Linked DNA regions of Danio rerio. The protein of the gene in region 4 interacts with the protein of the main gene of each other region in a biochemical or structural test. Links are inferred from orthologs where the notes say so. Each region holds a gene or a part of one and is shown on either strand. Other genes may lie near its edges.

Evidence for each region.
Region 1: the proteins of raf1b (region 4) and phb form a complex in vitro, tested with the Homo sapiens proteins (2 studies listed by BioGRID). The link is inferred for Danio rerio from reciprocal best matches to the Homo sapiens genes RAF1 and PHB1.
Region 2: the proteins of raf1b (region 4) and pebp1 form a complex in vitro, tested with the Homo sapiens proteins (3 studies listed by BioGRID and IntAct, with this or other methods). The link is inferred for Danio rerio from reciprocal best matches to the Homo sapiens genes RAF1 and PEBP1.
Region 3: the proteins of raf1b (region 4) and pebp4 form a complex in vitro, tested with the Homo sapiens proteins (2 studies listed by BioGRID). The link is inferred for Danio rerio from reciprocal best matches to the Homo sapiens genes RAF1 and PEBP4.
Region 5: of the proteins of raf1b (region 4) and stub1, one has a biochemical effect on the other in vitro, tested with the Homo sapiens proteins (4 studies listed by BioGRID, with this or other methods). The link is inferred for Danio rerio from reciprocal best matches to the Homo sapiens genes RAF1 and STUB1.

Annotation. Positions count from the first base shown.
Region 1 is NC_133178.1:14,400,445-14,405,299, reverse strand, and holds the start of phb (prohibitin 1), read right to left. Parts: upstream 2,971-4,855; 5' UTR 2,945-2,970; intron 2,473-2,944; 5' UTR 2,455-2,472; coding exon 2,370-2,454; intron 1-2,369.
Region 2 is NC_133180.1:16,092,431-16,095,450, reverse strand, and holds the end of pebp1 (phosphatidylethanolamine-binding protein 1), read right to left. Parts: intron 2,689-3,020; coding exon 2,471-2,688; 3' UTR 1,122-2,470; downstream 1-1,121.
Region 3 is NC_133183.1:60,322,216-60,327,051, forward strand, and holds the start of pebp4 (phosphatidylethanolamine-binding protein 4), read left to right. Parts: upstream 1-1,854; 5' UTR 1,855-1,936; intron 1,937-2,114; 5' UTR 2,115-2,126; coding exon 2,127-2,233; intron 2,234-4,053; coding exon 4,054-4,180; intron 4,181-4,836. UniProt on the Homo sapiens protein: Promotes AKT phosphorylation, suggesting a possible role in the PI3K-AKT signaling pathway.
Region 4 is NC_133186.1:565,041-569,377, reverse strand, and holds part of raf1b (RAF proto-oncogene serine/threonine-protein kinase), read right to left. Parts: intron 3,775-4,337; coding exon 3,621-3,774; intron 2,724-3,620; coding exon 2,699-2,723; intron 2,602-2,698; coding exon 2,504-2,601; intron 1,597-2,503; coding exon 1,479-1,596; intron 1-1,478. UniProt on the Homo sapiens protein: Serine/threonine-protein kinase that acts as a regulatory link between the membrane-associated Ras GTPases and the MAPK/ERK cascade, and this critical regulatory link functions as a switch determining cell fate decisions including proliferation, differentiation, apoptosis, survival and oncogenic transformation.
Region 5 is NC_133199.1:43,371,666-43,376,467, reverse strand, and holds the start of stub1 (E3 ubiquitin-protein ligase CHIP), read right to left. Parts: upstream 3,155-4,802; 5' UTR 2,909-3,154; intron 1-2,908. UniProt on the Homo sapiens protein: E3 ubiquitin-protein ligase which targets misfolded chaperone substrates towards proteasomal degradation.

The DNA.
Region 1 (4,855 bases), on a different chromosome or scaffold from region 4:
ACATGCAACGCTCCTCTATGACTCACCCCACTGACAAAGCTCCAGAATTTCTTTCCCCATACATGAGCTCATTTGTCCTATTTTGTCTGCTATGCCATTATAAATTGTGAAATAACCCATCTAAGAAAGCTTTAAGACCAAGCAAAATCTGACGCAAGTGAAGCCATCTTTCACTACTGACCTACTGTACTGTTGTTAAATAGAGAAAATATTTACAAGTAACTTTTAATCTAAATCCTGGACCTTATTTTTGAAAGAGCAGAAAAATAAAAAGACCAATAAAAAGGTGTTAAGCACCAAAAGTTCATTTTGAAGTCCCTGTGCATTTACTGTAGAAACACACAAACAACATAGCAGCGGGCAGAGAACTCATAGAGAAATGTTGTGCTTTATGAAATGAACAATAAAATAAAAATAAAAATAAAACGGCCACACAAGCACACCTGCTAAAAAAAAACAAAAAACAGCATGATTTAGAGTTCTCAGTCACACACACAGACACACAGACACACACAGACACACACACACACAGACACACACACAGACAGACACACAGACAGACAGACACACAGACAGACAGACACACACACACACACACACACAGACACACAGACACACAGACACACAGACACACAGACACACAGACACACAGACACACACACAGACACACACACAGACACACACAGACACACACACAGACACACACAGACACACACACACACACACACACACACACACACACACACACACGGGCTACATAAAGTGCAATTCGATAAATGTAATTTGATGAATGAAAAGTAAAATAAAAATTGACAAGCAAAATCTAGATGTTCCTCGACTTGGACAAAAAAATTTCCATGACTTTAAATATCTGAAATAAACATTTTAAAAATGAACTATTAAGATCCTTTTTTGCAGGATGAAAAATAAATATTGCTTTATAACCATTTTGAAACTGCCCCTTTTAGGCTTTGGTCCAAATTACGCCGCTTCTTTGTGACTGCCGCTTGAAATGTAAACTAGCTTTTGCTCTGTGCAAAGGCAGGTGGAGCTATAAATGTCAATGCGTCAGCATAGTGGCAGATTCATTAACAGTACTTAAGGAGATCTCTGTGAAAACTGAAAATGTGAAAGAAACGTCTCAAAAGAAGGCAGTCTATGGAGACTACAGTGTTCATTTGCGCATCTAAAACTTCACATTAATAGTGCCTTATAGTCAGTGTCATTATCTTCAGCAGGTGAACACTCTAAAGCCGCCTTTCCACTGCACATCACATTTGAACACGACTGTCGGAATACTCCCCCTTGTGGCAGTCGCACAGAACTTTCAGTTTTGTCGTGCACCATGGGAGAGAAGATGTTCTCACAGCGTCAGTAATAAAAGAGTGCAAAAGCAAGAGCCTTTACTCTCTGGGTGTCCACCATGGTTGAATGAATGAATCAACACTAGAAACTCAGACCGCTAAAAATGTTGGCGGGAATGTGGAAACAAACAAAAAAAAGTATTTTTATGACTCATTTATGAACAAAACATTTTTTAATATAGACTTTTTTCTGATTTAAGAAAAAAAAAAATCCTATTTCTCATCTCGCACGCACAGACCTGCCTGGACAACACTGAACTACATCACATGCGGTCGGTCGTATACGGTGTAGTCGCAGGAGTTCAAATATTTCCAACAGCAGCTCTGCAGCTCATATCGGATCCAAATTTTCCACATACGGAGAGAATCTGAACTCTACGCAGCTCCCGGACTACTCTCCATTGGAAATTCAACGTCTTCCAGTCTTTCGCTTGTCGTGTGCAGTGGAAGGGCGACTTAATGGCGAATGGCTGCTTCTCACTCAGGGCTGTTTATGCTAATGAGGCAGAGATCGTCACTAATGGACGGGCTTTCCCCCTCTGATGACAGGTACAATGTCAATCAAGGTGTTCATGCAGACTGTTTATCAAGTCTGATTATAATACTATTAATAAAACTATTGGATAATAATATAATATAATAAATAACTATAATAAAACTATTGTTTTACCATTACAAGCTGGTTATATTCACACACGGTTGCCACACAACTGCATTTAAACCACTTAGAAAACTGATATATGCACAAATGACCCCCTTTAAAACTCATGATATTCACAAAAATTCCAAGACCCATGGGAACTCTAAATATAGCAATATAAAGTTGCAATATTGTGCATTCCTATGACCTATCGACAGCCTCAATGTGGATAAAATTAACAACAAATTTAATTTGTTGCGTGTAAGCCCTTTAAATTGACCTTATTAGAATACTTATAGGAATTAAATGCTTTAACCATTGCTGCCATTGTTTTACAAAACACATCAGTAGTTATTACAACTCACCATTGTACAGAGCAGAGTTAACAACACCTCCTCCAATGGCCAAGGCCAATCCCAGCTTCCCAATGGACTCAAAGAGCTTCGCCATGACAACAAAGTGACAGTCCTGCGGGGAAAACACATTCATCTTCAGTATCTCATCATGGGTGATCTCTTGTGCATATAGAGCCCTTGGGTAATCAAACCAATGCTAGCCGGTTTAGCCTTGACTCTGACAGTGACACTGACATCAATGTAACGTGCTAATCTGATCTCACTCTAACCGGTCACTGGAAAAATCACAAGTAAAACTGCACAATATACACATATATACACCACTTAAAAACAATTGCTATTACAATAACACATGTGACACAGATTAACAGGCATTAATACAATCCGCAGTAGTGAACTTCACTCATTTATTAGCCTGCTACACGCTAATGATGCAACTGTCATGCAATAACGCCAACAAACACCCACACGTCGTGTTTATTTCACTTTCATACTGTCGCGTTATAATTACCGATGCTTTGTGAGTAAAACAAAAGCTTTAAGTTCGCATTTAAATGTAAGTCTCCTAAAACGTGAGCACTTACCCGCTGCGCTGAATGATCACAGTGACCTCCACCGGAGCCTGCGCAAGAAACACATGAGCAGGTGGAGCTTGCGCATGCGCAGAACAGTGTCAACATGAGTTTCTCCGATTGGATAGAGAGACACAAACCGAACGCCCTCTTGAGTAAGGAGGATTATTATTGGCGTACATCTCACGTTGCTTTAGAACGAGGTGGGTTCACTGCAATGCAATATGTGGGCGTTCCTTATTTCATTTTGTAATGACTTTAATTTATGTACTGTTATTGATACTTAAATGTCTTATGCTCAAGTTTATATCATGTTCTTTATTCATTTTTTCTTCTGTCTTTCTCTCTCTTATATTTTTTTATTGACAATGTAATTCATATTGCGTATTGTAAACAAATATTGCTACAAACTTGTCATGTGGGCGTTCTTTCGACTGCTTAAAGCTATAGTCCAACCACGTTCAAATACTGAAAATATGTTTTCAACATCGTTTAACACCTGTAACCATTGACTTCCATAGGAAAAACCAATAGTATGGAAGTCAATGGTTACCAGTTTCCAACATTTTTCAAAATAACTTATTTTGTGTTCAAAGAACGAAACACATTCATTTATTTTCTTTAGCTTAGTCCCTTTAAGGGTTGCCACAACAGAATGAACCGCCAACTTATCCAGCATATGTTTTACACAGTGGATGCCCTTCCAGCTGCAATCCATCACTGGGAAACACCCATACATACTCATTCACCTATACCACATGTTTTTGGGAGAAACTGGACCACCAAGGAGAAACCCACAACAACACGGGGAGAACATGCAAACTCCACACAGAAACGCCAACTGACCCAGCCAAGGCTCGAACCAGCAACCTTCTTGCTGTGAGGCAAATGTGCTACCCACTGCGCCACCGTGCAGTGAGCTTTTATTATTATTTTTATTTCATTGCTGTTGAAAGTGAGAGTGGTATAAAATTGCTACATTTTTCTACTGCAATTCCTGTACAGAGGCTTTACTACTAGTGTACCACATGCTGTATGAAAACAGAAAAGGACGTTTATTTATATAGCACTAATACCCCAAGATCATCAAGCATATCAAGACTCTTTGGATTCATCTTCAATGCCTCCTCCTCCATATTACCCCAGACATGCTCAATAATGTTCATCTCTGGTGGCTGGGCTGGCCATTCCAGGAGCACCTTGACCTTCTTTGCTTTCAGGATCTTTGATGTGGAGGCTGAAGTATGAGAAGGAGCGCTATCCTGTTGAACAATTTGCCTTCTCCTGTGGTTGGTAATGTAACGAGCAGCACAAATGTCTTGATACCTCAGGTTGTTGATGTTGCCATCCATCTCTTGCATGCCTCCACACTGAATGTAACCAAACCATGATTTTTTCTTAACCAAACTTGACTGATTTCTGTGAGAATCGTGGGTCTTTGTGGGTTCCAGTAGGTCTTCTGCAGTGTTTGTGATGATTGGGATGCAGCTCAACAGATGATTCATCTGAAAAACTACCTTCTGACACTTTTCCAAATGATCTACTAAAAGTCAACTAAATAAATTATTTGTTGCTTTTACAACTGGGATCAATGACAAGACTTTTGTGAGGTAGTGTAGGCCTGTGCTAATTAACCGCAGATTAACTATCTTTATATATAATAACTTTAATTAAGTAATATCTCTAAAAGTTAAAGTTATTAGTAACTAATAAAGTTAGCGCACTTAATAAACTTTTCTGATTTTGATTGTAATGCATCAAAGCCATCAAGTTACTTCTAATTGTGGTAAAAGCCACTGTAATACAGTGTATACAAGTTGAACATGGTATGTAGGTGAACCAAGTAGCCTATCTGAACATGGTGAACGACCCCTTTAAATTATAATGCTACTTCAAAACAAGGCAACATGTAGACATGCTATT
Region 2 (3,020 bases), on a different chromosome or scaffold from region 4:
GTAAAACTCGTCAATAGCAGGGAAGTATTTTCTCGTGAACAGCAGGGAAAGAGTTAAGTGAAATCATTTATTAATTTGACGCACATCATAATACCGGCCATACATGTAAAACACAAATAATGTTCTTGATTTCGGTCACATCCAGTGGCCATCATCCTTGAACCAATCTCCATCATTATAAGCGCCAAATGCACAAATGGCCCAATTCGCGCCACAGATTGTCTAATCGCATCTTTGTATTGACTTCACATCTAAATCATTCACGCTTCAGCCGTGTCTGCTTACTTTACAGGCTCATGTGCGCGGCGTACACAACGTCTATAAGTACTGTAAAACAATTAATTGCAAACTTAAATCTAATTTGATTATTTGGTTTGGAATTGGTTGCTTTACATTTTTTGTGCGTTTAAATTAAACATTTTGCAAGATCTTAAAAATTTTCAACTTTTTGTTAATTTTCATTGGATTCAGCAATTGTGGAATTGTGAAAAACTGGAGGGTCTGATAGATTTATTGTAGGAAAAAAAGTAGCAATTTAAATGAGCATCTCCTCAGGATGGCCACAGGCCAAAATAACAAACTAAAGAATATTAATTCATTTTGAGAAAAATGTTGAAATAAAACATTGAGAATAAACTTAAAATATGTACATTTTAAATTTTGAAAAGAATGTTTCAAGAAAATGTTAAGAATAAACTCAGAGAATTCAGAGAAAAAATGTTGTTAAAATGTCTGTAAAGTAAATTAACTAAATAACTTGCGAATCTATAGGAAGCTTACCTTCCTCACTGAACAAAGTCAAAAGTAATGTAAATAAATAGGCAGGCCACCCCTACAAGCTCAAACTCTCAAAAAAGTTCCAAGCATACTTGGACATTTGGACAATATTAATGTTTGGTCATCGGCCGGAGTAGGGAAATCACTCCACTCCAAGCAACAGTCACAACAAAAATGAGCTCCTCGAACTCTGCCGGAAGTTTCATTTTATAGCTCTCTGTGACCAGTAGCCAATCAGAGCCTGGGCCACATTAACATGGGAGCCTATGGGATAACAAAAAACATCACAAGGCGGCAGGACAAAGGAAAAGGCACAATACAGTTCGCAACAAAAATAAATAAACTTTTGTCGTAACATTGTCTTTTATTATCCAGTTTTTTCAATGGAGTCTTTTCCATTATTGAGATACTGTATTTTATAGTGCAGCTATGATTACACAAATCTCGTTTTTTTTAACTGAAGACAGTCTAAGTGCATCAAAGCAAAGTGACAATGAATGAAAGTGTAGACTGAAGTTACTTGTTAAATTAAATTCCATTTCAACCAAAGCAAAATAAGACCTGAAATTCATTTAAAGCAAAAATCCAAACAAAAACAGTTCATTAATTGTTTTTTAAAGGGATTAGTGTTATCACGATACTGGAGTTCGGTACCAATCAATACTGAAATTTGAAAAGTCTATTTTCCAACTAAAATTTGAGTGCATTCTTAAACAGCGCAGATTTTCCATTGCATTCACATGCTCAACAGAAATGACTGTGATTGGCCATAAAGGTCATCAGTTAAGCAAACTCACCGCTGTTTACTGAGAGTGGCCACGGATACAGGGACACTGGAGTGTTTCAAAGCGCAAAGATTAGCTGGTTTTTCTATAAGCTGACATACGAGCGATCTGCTGATGAATCGTTGCTTTAAAATTCTCCAGTGTCCCTGTATTTGTGGTTACACGCAGAAACCACTGGTGAGTTCGTTGAACTGATGACCTTCAAGCCCAATCACAGTGTTTTCTGTTGAGCATGTGAACACAATGGCAAATCAGCGCTGTTTAAGATCATGCTCAATAGCGCGCAAATGTTAGCGGGAAATTTTCAAATTTCAGTATTGATTGGTGCCACATTCCAGTATCGAGACAACCCTAAAAGAGAAAGTTCACTCAAAAATGAAAATGTACACACTCTACGATGTTTCAAAATCTTCATTTCTGGCTTCTGTTGAACACAGAAGAAGATATTTTGAAGAATGCTGGAAACTGATAAACACTGACATCCATAGCAGGAAAAAACAAATACTATGGAAGTCAATGTTTTCCGACTTTCTTCAAAATAACTTCTTTTGTATTCACCAGAATAAAGAAAACAAAACTCATTTGGGAAAAAGTAAAGAATAAACGACAGAATCAGCTGTTTTGAGTGAACTATCCCTTTAAACTACTGAAACTGTATTGAGTTGAGCTCTTCAGACTAAAGCAGTATTTCCTAACCACGTTCCTGGAGGACCACCAGCTCTGCACATTTTCCTGTCTCCTTAAGCAAACACCTGATTCAGATCATCAGCTCATTAGCAGAGACTGAAAGACCTGTGATGGGTTTGATGAACAAAGGAGACATCCAAACATGCAGTGTTGGTGGTTCTCCAGGAGCGTGGTTGAGAATCACTGGACTAAAGGATAACATACATTGTAATTAACAGTCTTTATTTGCCAGCCAGCTGTTCGTAAAGTTTGGGCACATAGTTGTCCCACTCGGCCTGGAAGCAGGAGCCTGCGAGCGGAGCCCCGAGGCTGTATTTCTTGCGGAAGCTCTGGATCTTGAATTTTCCTCGGTTGTCTCCAGAGCGGTTGGTGAGGACTCGTTCAGTGCAGCTGATGTTCCCCGACTGCTCATAAACGAGCCACACGTAACGATGGAGACCTGCAGGAAACCAGATAGTTCAGATGTAACTGCTTTGTATTTGCTGATGGATCTATTTCGCCATTAGGACAATTATGATGTTATCGTCATCTTAAAGTACAGATGAAATCAAAACTAATATTGATTTTGTTAGTTTACAGTAGTTTTGCTAGTTTTGTGGTGAACTAGTCATCTGTGCATGCCGTTAAGAAAAACAAAATGTTTGCTACTTTAATCTGCCATTGAAATATGAAAATGCACTTCCTGTTTGTTTACGATAAAATTGTCAGACTACGCCTGTGTGAGGTAATGGGCATGGCTAACATACTTAACCACGCCCCTCCAACTGTCAA
Region 3 (4,836 bases), on a different chromosome or scaffold from region 4:
TCTTAAGGGTTGCTACTGTAATAATATTGACCCTACAATATTTTTAAAAATTAGAAATAAAATTCAGCCAAACTAAAAGAAAAACAACTTTCTCCAGAAGAAAATAATATTATAGTAAATACTGTGAAAATGTTCTTTCTCTGTTAAACAGCATTTTAGAAATGTTTGAAAAACAGTAAAAAATTCACAGGAAAGCACACACACACACACACACACACACACACACACACACACACACACACACACACACACACACACACACACACACACACACACACACACACACACACGTACATATACACACTACCCGTCAAAAGTTTGGGGTCAGTTTTTTTTCATGTTTTGTTTTTTAAAGAAAATGATTCTGTTCATCAAGGCGGCATTTATTAATTGTACAAATATTGTTAAATTATTAAATATTTAATATTTAAAAAAAATGAAATACCAATTAATATCAAAAACACTCCTAATCGACAACAACAACAATAATAATATGAATTAATAAATAAAGAAATACTAGAGCGTAACAATATACTTTTGAACAGTTATTTTATAGAGCAATAATATTTCACAAATGCACATATTTTACTGTACTTTTGGTGAAATATATATATATATATATATATATATATATATATATATATATATATATATATATATATATATATATATATATATATATATGTGTGTGTGTGTGTGTGTGTGTGTGTGTGTGTGTGTGTGTGTGTGTGTATATATATATAGGCCCTTAAGCAATTTTTTTGATAGTCCATCATTAAAACATCATTATACAATAACTTGCCTAATTACCCTAATCTGCCTAGTTAACTTAATTAACCCAGTTAATCCTTAATGTCATAATGTCACTTTAAGCTGTATAGAAGTGTCTTGTAAAATATATAGTCAAATATTATGTACTATCATCATGGCAAATATAAAATAAATCCATTATTAGAAATGAGTTATTAAAACTATTGTGTTTAGAAATGTGTTGAAGAAATCTTCTCTCCGTTAAACAGAAAGTGGGGGAAAAATAAACAGGGGGGCTAATAATTCTGACATCAACTGAATACAATGACATCATTGGCACCTCACCAATCCCAAGTAGCTAATTGGAGTTTTTCAAACTTGAAAAAAGAAGTTCCTAAAAAAATGTTTAAAAAAAAAATCCATTTAGTTTATGAATTTTTCATTTTTATTTACGTTTATAAAATTTTCAACATAAAAATATTATTGTTATAATTATTTGTTTGTTTGTTTGTTTTATATAACAGAAGATTTAACGTCTTGAAATAACGGCAAATAACACTGCAGGGTTAGAATTTTTCATTTAAAACTAATTCAATGAGTGCCCTATATAGGGTTAATGTAATTTAATATAATAATAATTATTTTTTTGTTTTAATTAATGACTCCCACAGATCTGACCATCGTTTCCACAAGACACAAAATGTAATTCAGTGTAACATTTTATTTACATTCATTTGATTTATCTTATGTGTTTAAGAATCACAATGTAGCTAAAAACTGTCGTTTAAACATTATTTGTTAACTTCCTTTAGACCAAATTTATTTATCAGATACACCTTTAATTTTTAAAAAAGTTCTGAATATGTATGTTTTATTTTCGTTAAAAAATACAAATTAATCCTGTTAGCCTGCACACCTTTTGGTATTCACACCTGATAATAATAAAATTTTTATTAAAGCACCGCTACCCTATCAACAAAGAACATGATTGACAAGTCTACAAACCAATGAGTTGGCGGCTAACAGAAGTGGCAACCAATCGCAGTGAAGAGTGGGCGGCTCCAATGCGTTTCCCTATTTAACTTTGAAACATAATATTAGCTTACTATTTTTAAGTCGACGGCTACAGACTAGTTCCCCGTCTGCAACTAAACGTTAATATCAGCAGGTTTGTCGAGAATTGCAGGTAAATGACACATCAATGTTATCAAATACATGAGTTGTCAACAAACAGACAGATTCTTTTACAGCTTACGTACATTTCTTTTAACATAATGTCTTAAAATGGCGGCTGTTTTGCATACGCAACCTAATAACACTAAATCAGTTAATAACTATCGCCTACACTCCTGTGTTTGTTGAAGGGTCTCTGGAAAATGTATTTATTTTACACGTCGTTGATTCTGTGCGTCCTCTGCGCATGTCACATGACCAAAGCCACCTGTGACGAGCCTTTGACAGCAGAAGATGCTGAATTCTGCAAGTAAGTTTCCATTGTAATGGATGCAATTCCTAAAAGAGTTATAATGCGTTTAAGAGGTTATGGTGGAGTATCCAGTGTTTCGTCTCTACCATCACACCCCTTGGAGTGGGAAATGTATGTTTTTGTCACAACCTTCCTCAATTAATTACAAAATCAGGTCTCTCTTTCAAAAAGGAAGCTGTAACAACCCCATATGTGAAGTTTTATTGGATGGAAGTATATGACCAGATTCAATGGGATAAAAAAGTTTGGTCTTTTTTTTTTCTGTAAAATATTAAAAAACTAAAAAAAAAAAATTAGAGAAATTTAATTTAAATTTAATTAAATTTTACCCAGCCAAGACGTTTTTGAAAAAAAAAAAGAAAAGAAAAAAAGTCAGATCTAATACATGCGTCTCTATCTGTAATATACCCAATGAGACTGCGGATTAAGCATGGGACGATAACTTTTTGCAAGGTATACTGCTGTTTGGAAAAGTCAAGGTTTTAAAACGTCAAAATTCTGCAATACTGTTCCTAAGGTATCACATAAGGTATGTGAAATATTTTTTTTATTTACTTTTTTTTTTTTAAGACAACAGTATCTCCAGCTAAAAAAGATATCCAAAGCTGCCGTTGTGTGTATGTATATATATATATATATATATATATATATATATATATATATATATATATATATATATATATATATATATATATGTATATGTGTATATGTATATATGTATATGTATATATGTATATATGTATATGTATATATGTATATATGTATATATATGTAAAAGTGTTTTGTTACACTGACATTAATAAAAAAATCTACAAGCATATTATATATATATATATATATATATATATATATATATATATATATATATATATATATATATATTACATATACATTTATATTACATATGATTATATATTATATAATAATAAATATCACATTACATATTATTATTATTATTATTATTGATATTATTATTATTATTATTATTATTATTTTCATATTACTTTGTCTTTATATATTTAGAATCATTATTATTTTGCTAAATGTATTTGCTTTATTAAAATAAGACATCATAAAATATAATCAAATCTCTTATTTTTATTCCTATAAATAAATATATCCTGTGAAATATTTATTAATAAAAAAAAATTCCCAACTAATAGCTACTGAAGCAAAGACATTTAAAGGCATTTCTGTTAATGTTTTTTCTTCTAGAGAAAAAACTTATTTGTTTTATTTTGGGTTGAATAAAACCATTTTTTAACTTTTAAAAACTATTTAAAAGTCATTATCATTGGCTCTCATGTGCATTTTTTTCCCGATTGTCTATAGAACAAACCACTGTTGCACAATGATTTGCCTAATCACCCTAACATTATTATTATTATTATTAAAACATCCATTATTTGCTTGTAAATAATAAAATATTATATATAATATATATAAAATATATAAAGCCTATATACCATATGGAGATGTCTTTCAGCTTTCCTCAAGGAGTTCTGGAATAGGGTTAATTTCCAAACCATATTTTCCGAGCTGAACTGATTTGAGAAGTCTGGCTTGTAGGCCGATGTGGGATGTGCAGGACTCCCTCAGAGCTCTGAGTCACGGATGCTCAAGCAGCAGGTCCCACTCAAAACACAAAAACCCACACAACAATTTGTACAACCCTAAAAACTTACTCACTATTTCAACTTTCAGTGCATTCATTGGTTATTCATGACCTTCCATTGGAAACCATTGATTGAATACTGATGCATGGAGTGATATAAACAGCTTGACTTATTCCCCGTACCTCTACTTTTACTCTTTAGGGGAGGGTTAAAGGTGATTTATCCAGATCTGGTTGTTGACAAATGCTTGATCGTCCCTCAGAGGATGAGAGAGAAGATCAGTATGGAGTGGGGATCACCTGAAGTACTCCTGCCACATGCTGAGGAGGTAAGACAAGTTTCCTTCATGACCTCTTGCTGACCTCGTACTCTTTGTTAGCAATTGGCGGTTTAGCCAGTGATTACCCTACTAAATAGGACATGTATGCAAGCTATGTTTTGATGCTGGTTTCAATGCTGGTCTTGCTGGTTCCGATGCTGGTCTTGATGCTGGTTTCGAAACTGATCTTGATGGTCTCTACTGGATTTGCTGTTCTTAAAATGCTGGTCTCGATGGTCTCAATGCTGGACTTGATTGTTTCAATGCTGGTATTGCTGGTTTTAATACTGGTCTTGATGGTTTCCATGCTGGACTTGATGGTCTCGATACAGAACTTTTGATTGTTTTGAGGCTGGTTTTGATGGTTTCGATGATGAACTTGCTGGTGTTGATGCTGGACTTGCTAGTCTTAATGCCGGCCTTTATGGTCAGGACCAGCATTGAGACCAACAAGTCCAGCATTGAGACCAACACTGAAAACCTGGTCTTGCTGGTCTCGATGCCGATTTTTCTGGTTTCAGTGCTGGTTTGATGCTCATCTCGGTGCTGGTCTTGCTGGTTTCGATGCTGGTCCCTCTGGTTTCAGTGCTGGTCTCATTGCTAGTCGGGACCAGCATTGAGATCAGTAAGTCCAGCATTGAGTTCAGTAAGACCAGCATTTAAAA
Region 4 (4,337 bases):
TACAGCAGATGCATGCACATGCAGCTGAAGTCAGAATTATTCGCCCCCTTTGAATCTTTTTCTTTTCTAAATATTTCCCAAATGATGTTGAACAGATTCAGGAAATGTTCACAGTATGTCTGATAATATTTGTTCTTCTGAAAAAAAGTCTTATTTGTTTTATTTCGGATAGAATAAAAACAGTTTTTAATTTTTTAAACACCATTTTAAGGTCAATATTATTAGCCCCTTTAAACTATATTAGTTTCTGTTAACCCTTTAAATGCCACTTTTAAGCTGAACACTAGTGTCTTGAAGAATATCTAGTCTAATATTATTTACTGTCATCATGACAAAGAGAACATAAATCAGATATTAGAGATGAGTTATCAACACTATTATGATTAGAAATGTGCTGGAGAAAACTTCTCTGTTAAACAGATATTGGTGAAAACATCAGGGGGTTAATAATTCTGACTTCAACTGCACGTGCACATTTATAAATGCATGACAGGGAATATGCAATTAATCTGAATCATCAATACAACAATATTTATTGCAGAGCAGGGCTATTTTAGGATCACTGAGTGCATACTGCAGTTTTCATAGGGTCAAATTCTTAACTAATAATCAAGTTGAGCTAATGCATCTATTAGTATATGATATGGTCATATTAATATGATAGCTGCATTTAAAGCTGCAGTATACAGATTATTTGTTGTTTGTTTATATATAGTTGAACACTAAATGATTTGCCTCCTGTGAAACGGTAATTATTTTACAAATATTTCCAAAGTGCTGTTTAACAGGGATGAGATTTGTCAAAATTTTAACCATAATAGTTTAATAACTGATTTATTTTCTCTTTGTCATGATGACAGCACATAATATTAGACTAAATATTCTTTAAGACACTAGTATTCAGCTTAAAGTGACATTTAAAGACTTCACTAGGGTAATTAAGTAACTTAAGCAAGTCATTGTATAACAGTGGTTTATTCTATAGACTATAAAAAAGATTTCCTCAAGATAATATTGACTATAGCTGGTTATTTACACCATTTAATGTCACTTGGGGAATATTATAAACATAATATTATAAACATACAACCAATACCTCGGGAAATGAGTATATTGTGAAAAGGTTGAGTATTGATGAGAGCTGGTGCCACCCTGATCAGCTAATGAACTCAAAACACCTGAAGAGGCCTTTAAACGCTCTGTCAGATGAGTTCTGCAGGCTACACAATCATGGGGAATTCACTCATAATATTAGTATTACTTTATAAAAGTATAAAAATAAAAGTAAAAAGGTATAATTATAATGTTGTATCATACTTATAAACTGCAACACAGACACTATGGTACAGAGAATGTCTTGTGGCTGACACAGCTGCCTCTTTAATCTGCCTAAATACTACTGGAATTCAAAAAACAACTAACAATAACAAACGGTGTTACAAGAAATACATCAAATGCTGAAGAGAAAGGAGTCTTACCGTGCCATTTCCCTTTGTAAACTGTGCCGAAAGAGCCTGAGCCGATCCGGGAGAGCAAAAGCACCTCAGTGGCCTCGATCTCCCAGTAGTAGCTGGAGTCTCTCTTCTCTCGAGGACGCTAACACACAGACAACAACAACTTTAACTACAGCGCACACAAAACTGACTCAATGCATGACTGCTTACTTAAAGAAAACCTACTTTATCCCTTAAAACTTACTTATTACATTGCACTTATTTTACAATCCAAACCTTTTGTTTTATTTTTAAAAAAAAAGCTTAAAGCTGTGAGAAATAATGTGAGAATGATGAGCTTAACCTCAAATCCTATGACATAAACACACACTTCAGTGAAGAAAAGCCTGAAAATATCACCAGAAAAAAATCTAAAATAGGAAACAATTAAATATATTAACTTTAAAAAAACATCTAAATTGTGAGAAGCAAACAATTCTGTAGAGCAAACCTGAATAGTGAGATTTAATTGTAAAAAATTAAGGTGCAAATGATTATTCAGTAGTAAATTCAGAGTGCTTTCTCAGTATTCAGAGAAAACAAGTCGGCAGTGGAAATTAAAGGAACAAACTCACAATTGTGAGGAAAAAAGTCAGAACTGCAGCGCTTACATCTTACATTTCAGTGTTTTATATTCATAAACAAGCTTTAATAGAAATGTCATGCAATGAAAATAATAATAATAATTTGTTCTACACACCTGCCCGGATCATGAAATCATGTTTAAACTACACTGTAAACACGATTAGTTGACTTTACTTTAAACACTGAGTGAGCCTGATGCCTTAACATTATTAAGAGCATGAAATATGTACATGATTATCATAATTAAGTCCACTTAGTTGCAACAGGTTCACTCACTTTTTAAAGAAACTAGTTAATTTTACTGTGTTGATGAGTAGCAAGAAACTAATCTAAACTCTGTGGAAACACTTGATAACGTTTGTTTTAAAGTTTGGTTGTGATTTCTCATCACGTTTTACAGTAAAGTGGATGTTCGTGTCACTTACGATTCGTTTTTCCTGAGTGTTACTCGAAGGCGCTTTCTCCCTGTGAGCTGGAGCTGGGGTTTTGGACCATTCGGTCGGGCTTAAGTTTTGAGGGCTTCCTGTGAGTTAAGGTGACAGATAAATGAGGCAGGTAAGCACACATTTTAGCCTCAGCTTCACAGCGAAATCTGGGGGAAATCATGAAAAACCCTTTACCTGATTCATCATGCCTTAAGGCTTCCTGAGAATGAAGAGGGGAGAATCATTTTAGCACACGAGAAGATCAAGAGGAGATGCAATAATAGTTTAAAAAGGCATTAATGATGATCATTTTCGAATAGAAAAGAGCAGTGAGGAGAAAAAGTGAGATTTACGAGCTTAACTTAAAATTGCATGACCAAAAAATCTCACAAATGAAACAAAAACATGGAAAATCAACTTGGATTCGTGAGAAATTAAATCAAGCGCACACAGAAAAACTGGCTGAAATGCATGAAGCTCACTGAATAAGTTTATTTTATGGCTCAAAGCTGACTTATAAATTGTAATTCTGAGCTTTTTCCAACAAAACTCTTTTGAATTTCAAATTAAAATCGAAAAATTTAAATTAGAAACTCAAAACTGTGAGGAAAAAGTGAGAATTATGAGCTCAACTTGAAATTGCATGTCAGAAAAAGTCTGAAAACATCAGAAATCAACTAGCAATTTTCAACAAACATAACAAAAAAATAAAATAAAAACAAGATATTAGCTTGTGACAAAAAAGTCGATAGTTCGGGACCCAATTAAAGACCTAAAAGGCATTAATACTTCCAAAAGTGCTGTGAGCAAAAATGTGAGATTTACAAGCTTAACTTAAAATTGCATGACAAAAAAACACAATAAGAACAAAAAAACATGAGAACTTAACTTGGATTTGTGAGGGGGAAAAACTCAGAGCAAAAATAAGAGATATCATCAATCTGAACTGAGACACAAACAATTGTGCGAGTCTGAATAGTGAGATTTTTTAAGTCAAATGTTTGATTCTGCGGTCAATAAAAACTTGCATTAGTATAACTCAGAATCATAAGAAAAGCAGCAAATTCAGAATGTTATCTGAGTATTCATGAAGACACTGGTGACACTGGCGGATTACCTGATAAGCAGCTTCATCGACTGGCTGGGTTGTGCTCACCATGTGGACATTGGGTGTGGATGTGGACAAGACTTTATGGCCCAGAGAGACTCCAGGGGACGGCAGGGGTGTGATGTAGTTCAATGCATTTGGCGTTGAGTATCTGTGATAGGGACTGGAGAAGGTTTTACAGTCAGAACATACAGGAATTAGGCTTTTCTGAGAAGGTGCGAGGGAGTATTTAGGCTCAGATCTGAGCAGATTCTAAAGCCAATCATTTCAGATGGTTATGAGTAAATACCACCCTTCAGTATTTATAATAATAATAATAATTTACTATAGATTAGAACATCATGAGGCAGATTATAATAGCAGATTGGTGATGCAACCTACATTAGATGACAAAAGGAAAACACCCAAATTAAAAAAAAACTACAAGTGTAATTCAATACCACCGGGGGAAAAAGAAAACAAAGGGGCGCTTTGGCTCGTTTTAATTTTCAGTGGACTTGTTGGGTCAGTTCACTAGATTTGAGCTAAACATAGAGAGAGGGATAGATTACCTTTAGGGATGCACTGAAACTAACAAACTTGGCCGAAACTGAAAAAAAGGAAACCAAAATAAACGATGCCAATTACTAGCTCCACTGCATTTACAGCTATAACGGTGTAGTAACCTTACTAGGATCAAGGAATTGCAATTGCATAAATTAAAATTAAAGTTTTAAAAGAATAAAT
Region 5 (4,802 bases), on a different chromosome or scaffold from region 4:
ATCATAACAATATTCTTATGGGGTCAATTTTATTAGCCACCATAAGAATATACATTCAAAACAGTTTGTTAGAAACAATGATATGCTTTGCGTGTTTGTTTTTATGTTTATATAAGTGCTATTTTCATTTATAGCTCTTGATTTTTGCATTGATTTTTAATATCTCTTGTTTAAATACACTATGAACAGCAGCTACGCTAATTATTTTCTTTATTTTCTATTTCCACCTGGGGATACTCATCCCGAGGCCTCTAGAGATTGTGCAGCGCCATTGATGTGATCCAAGACCTGTGAAGAAATGATGCCAACCGCAGAGCACTTCTAGAGGTCTCCATAATCCTGGACCAGGCCGTATCCTGAGCAGATATCAGGGCCGGAGTGGGACTCATTTTCAGCCCTGGAGTTTCAAGCCAGACCAGCCCACCTCGACTGATTACATTAAAATAAGGTCATTTCCAATTCAGTTTCTAATGACACTATCACATCTTTTTTGAGAAAACAGCTGCTTTAGAAATTCAAATGTTCAACAACCCTTACAGTATTATGTCATAAAAACGAAAAATAATAATAATAATTTTTCAGGTGAGATTCGAACATGGGTCGGAAGTTTCGCAACGCAACGTGCTTTCCACTGGACCACAATGGCGCTATTCCAGTGGGAATAAAAAATAAAGATTACACTGTGAACGGCAAGACATAGTATTACTTTGATGGCTAAATCATTTTCTCCTTTTAGATTTCTGATCAAGTTTTGTCAGATTTAATGTAGTAAATCATCTGATTTTCATTGAGCAGGTGTATTATTCATTAATATTAATTATTCAAATTCTTATAATCACTAAGGTGCCACTGTTTGGGGTCGAATGATTAGTTACATCATCATTAACGTTAGTAAACCTGCAGGCTGCATTTTGCTCACGGAGCAGCAAGAAAAAAAATAAATAAAAAGAGCGGCGCTGCGGCAAAATAATGAAAAACAAAAAAAAAGAGTGAGGCTATGGTCAAATTAATAAATAAATAAATGAAAAAAGTGTGACTGCTGAGAGTGCAAGCAGCTAGGGACACTGGCCCTCACGGCCAAAAAACGGACCGACCCACCAGGAATTCTCTCGGTTCGCCAATCCGGGCCTGGCAGATATTGTGGTTGTCATGGAGGAGCTGAGAGCATAAGACTGATGCCTGAATCACCCCAGTGACAAACAAGTCCTCACATTTATCAAGTGGGCCAGCCTGAACACACGCCGGTGACCTACTCACACTTGCATCTTCTCCACGATGGACATCCAGCGTTCTCCAGCCTCCGGCGCCTAGACTGCTTTTCTGCAGTTTGGTCAGAGGAGAAATGGTCGTGCCCAACAGAGCCGGTTTCTCTCCAGGTTTTTTCCTTCACTTCAATCACGTCAATTGGTGAAGATTGTTCCTTCGCTGTTGCCACTGGCTTGCTTGGTTTGGGAATTGTGGAGCTGCGCATCGATGGATTTGCTCTTCAGTGTTTGAACTCTCAGTATTGAATATTAAACCACACTGAACTAATCTAAACTGAACTCCAACTCTGAAAACTGGACTGACAGTTTACACTATCACTATATCACTATAATCTTCTATGTTAAGCTGCTTTAACACAATCTGCATTGTAAAAGCGCTACAGAAATCAAGATATTTTTCAATTAGCTACAGAACAAACCATCATTATACAATGACTTGCCTAGTTAACATAATTAAGCCTTTAAATGCTGAATACAAGTATCTTGCAAAAACTTGCACGACCCTCAATTGGTACTAATGGACCCAAAGTGTGCTAAAAAAATCTCCCCCACACCAATACACCACCACCACCAGCTTAAACCGCTGACACAAGGAAGGATGGATTCATGCTTTTATGCTGTTGACGTCAAATTCTGACCCGAGCATCTGAATGTGTCAGCAGAAATGGAGACTCATCAGAGCAGGCAACGTTTCTCCAATCTTCTATTGTCCAGTTTTGGTGAGTCTGTGTGAATTGTAGCCTCAGTTTCCTGTTCTTAGCTGACAGGAGCGGCACCCGGTGTGCTCTTCTGCTGCTGTAGCCCATCCGCCTCAAGGTTGGACGTGTTGTGTGTTCAGAGATGCTCTTCTGCAGACCTTGGTTGTAACGAGTGCTTATTTGAGTTTCTGTTGCCTTTCTATCAGCTGGAACCAGTCTGGCCATTCTCCTCTGACCTCTGGCATCAACAAGGCATTTGTGCTCACAGAACTGCCGCTCACTGGATATTTCCACTTTGTCGGAGAATTCTCTGTAAACCCTAGAAATGGTTGTGCGTGAAAATCCCAGTAGATCAGCAGTTTCTGAAATACTTAGACCAGCATGTCTGTTATCAACATCCATGCCACGTTCAAAGTCACTCAAATCCCCTTACTTCCTCATTCTGATGCTCGGTTTGACCTGCAGCAGATCGTCTTGACCATGTCTACATGCCTAAATGCATTAAGCTCCTGTCGGTGAGTGTATACTCTACATTTTTCTGATTTTGATTGAAATGTATTAACGTGCACCTTTTGTAGAGCTGCTGTTCATATAGTAGAAATGATTAAAATGAATTGTTTAATGTACATCACACACACACACACACACATCTGGACAACAGTAACACACATCTGGACACTGACAGTTGTGTGAAATCATTCATGACTCTTTATGCAGCTCTGTGAACTTAAAACACACACAATCCAACAGTTAATCACTAAAATTAAGCACTACCAACGAGTAAATGTAATTTCACGTCGATCAGAAATTAAACTCCTGTGCCTGACACATAAGCACATTCACACACACTTTACAAGCTAACAACCAGGTCAGCGCTGAGAATAAACACGCTTAGAGATTAAATCAGATGGTTTGAATATGAAATATGGATTATTTGAGGCGTACCGGGTTTGACTGCTGGACTGACGCCTGTCGTTAGCAAACCGGTAGCGACACTGGTGCTTTGATGATCACTTTTGGATCCCTGATAGCGAATGAAACGCGGCCAAACTCATATTCCGACTCGATCATGACATTAAGATGACAAATGTCCGACGTTTTCATCGGCGATCCTCAAAAACACGACATTTTACCCGCGGGTGTGAGACGCTAGCATCATGTTTCGGTTGTTTTGACTCTGCCGTCACTGTGACGTCGCCGGAGGTGACGATCGGAAGCTCGTTGCCAACGTAATAACGCCACCTGTCGGCGACGTGCAGGAGTTTAATTTCATAATAATAATAATTAGATAAAATATATAAATAAATATGAAAACAGTTATAATAATAATGCTTGATTATTATCATTATTTATTCTACATTTTACACGTTTTTTTCCGGTTACACATTTTAAAAAGTGTTCTAGAAAAGCATGTAATAAAAATATAAATAACTGACTTAATTTCTACTTCAGCATATAATTTTGAGCTTTCTAATGACTTTTAATTCTTATGACTTTAATACCTTATTTATAATTTTGACCTTTAAGTAACAGAGTAAGCCATAATTGCTCATTTTTTATTAAGAATTACAAAAAAAGTCTTAATTTCTTCTTTAAATATTTTTTTTCATGTAGTTATAGAATTTAGCTATATAATTTAATATAAAAATACATCAAATGTCTTTAATTCTCCTGTAAAAATGTGCATTTTGTATTTAATTTTTGTTTAGAGACATTTTAGAGTCACCCTAAAAAGCTGCATCATATTTTAGGTGCAAAACAATGAGTTTGCTAAAATGATGTGAATAATTTAATAATAAACATACTCAAATTCAGATTGCAATATAATTTCTTGCTGAACACCAAACACATTCAGAAAAATAATATATTAACATTAAAGAACAGTAAAAGAGTCACCAAACACCATTTCAGTTCATAAACCATATAATGCACTTAAATGAGGACAACATGAACAGTCGACAAGTAAGACAAGTAGAAAAAATACATGAATCAAAATGTGAATAATTATGATGATAATATATAATTCATTAGTGTTATCATCATTTTTACTCTACATTTTAGTTTTTTTGTGATTATTAATTTTAAAACTTTAAAAATGTTCAAGATAATGTGCTTTCTTATCACTTCTAATTTTGATTTAGGTATAACATTTCTTTTTTTTAATACCCTATTTATAATTTTGACCTTTAAATAACTCAGAGTAAGCCATAATTGCTCATTTTAATTAACATTTATGAAGAATGCCGTCATTTCTTCTTTAAATTTTTTTTTCATGTAATTACATAATTTAGTCATAGACTTTATTATAAAAATAAGTCAAATGTCTCTAATTCTTCTGTAAAAATGTGAATTTTGTATTCAGTTTTTGTTTAGAGATATTTTAAAGTCCCCCCAAAATAGCTGCATCATATTTTAGGTGCAAAACAATGAGTTTGCTGAAAATGATGTGAATAATAATAAATGTACTCAAATTCATGTTGTAATGTTATTTCCTGCTGAACACCAAACACATTCAGATAAATAATATATTAACATTAAGAAACAGTAAAAGAGCCCTCATTCACCAAACACCATTTCAGTTCATAAACCATATAATGCACTTTAATGAGGACAACATGAACAGTCGACAAGTAGAAAAGTATATGTAAACAAATGTGAATAATTATAATACATAATTCATTAGTTTTATCATTAATTACTCTACATTTGCAGTTTCTTTGTGATGATTAATTTAATAACTAAAAATGTTCAAGATATTGTGCAATGATTTAATTTCTACTTAAGCTAATCGTACTTTTGAGTTTTTGTATGATTTTAAGTATGACATTTCTATTTTTTA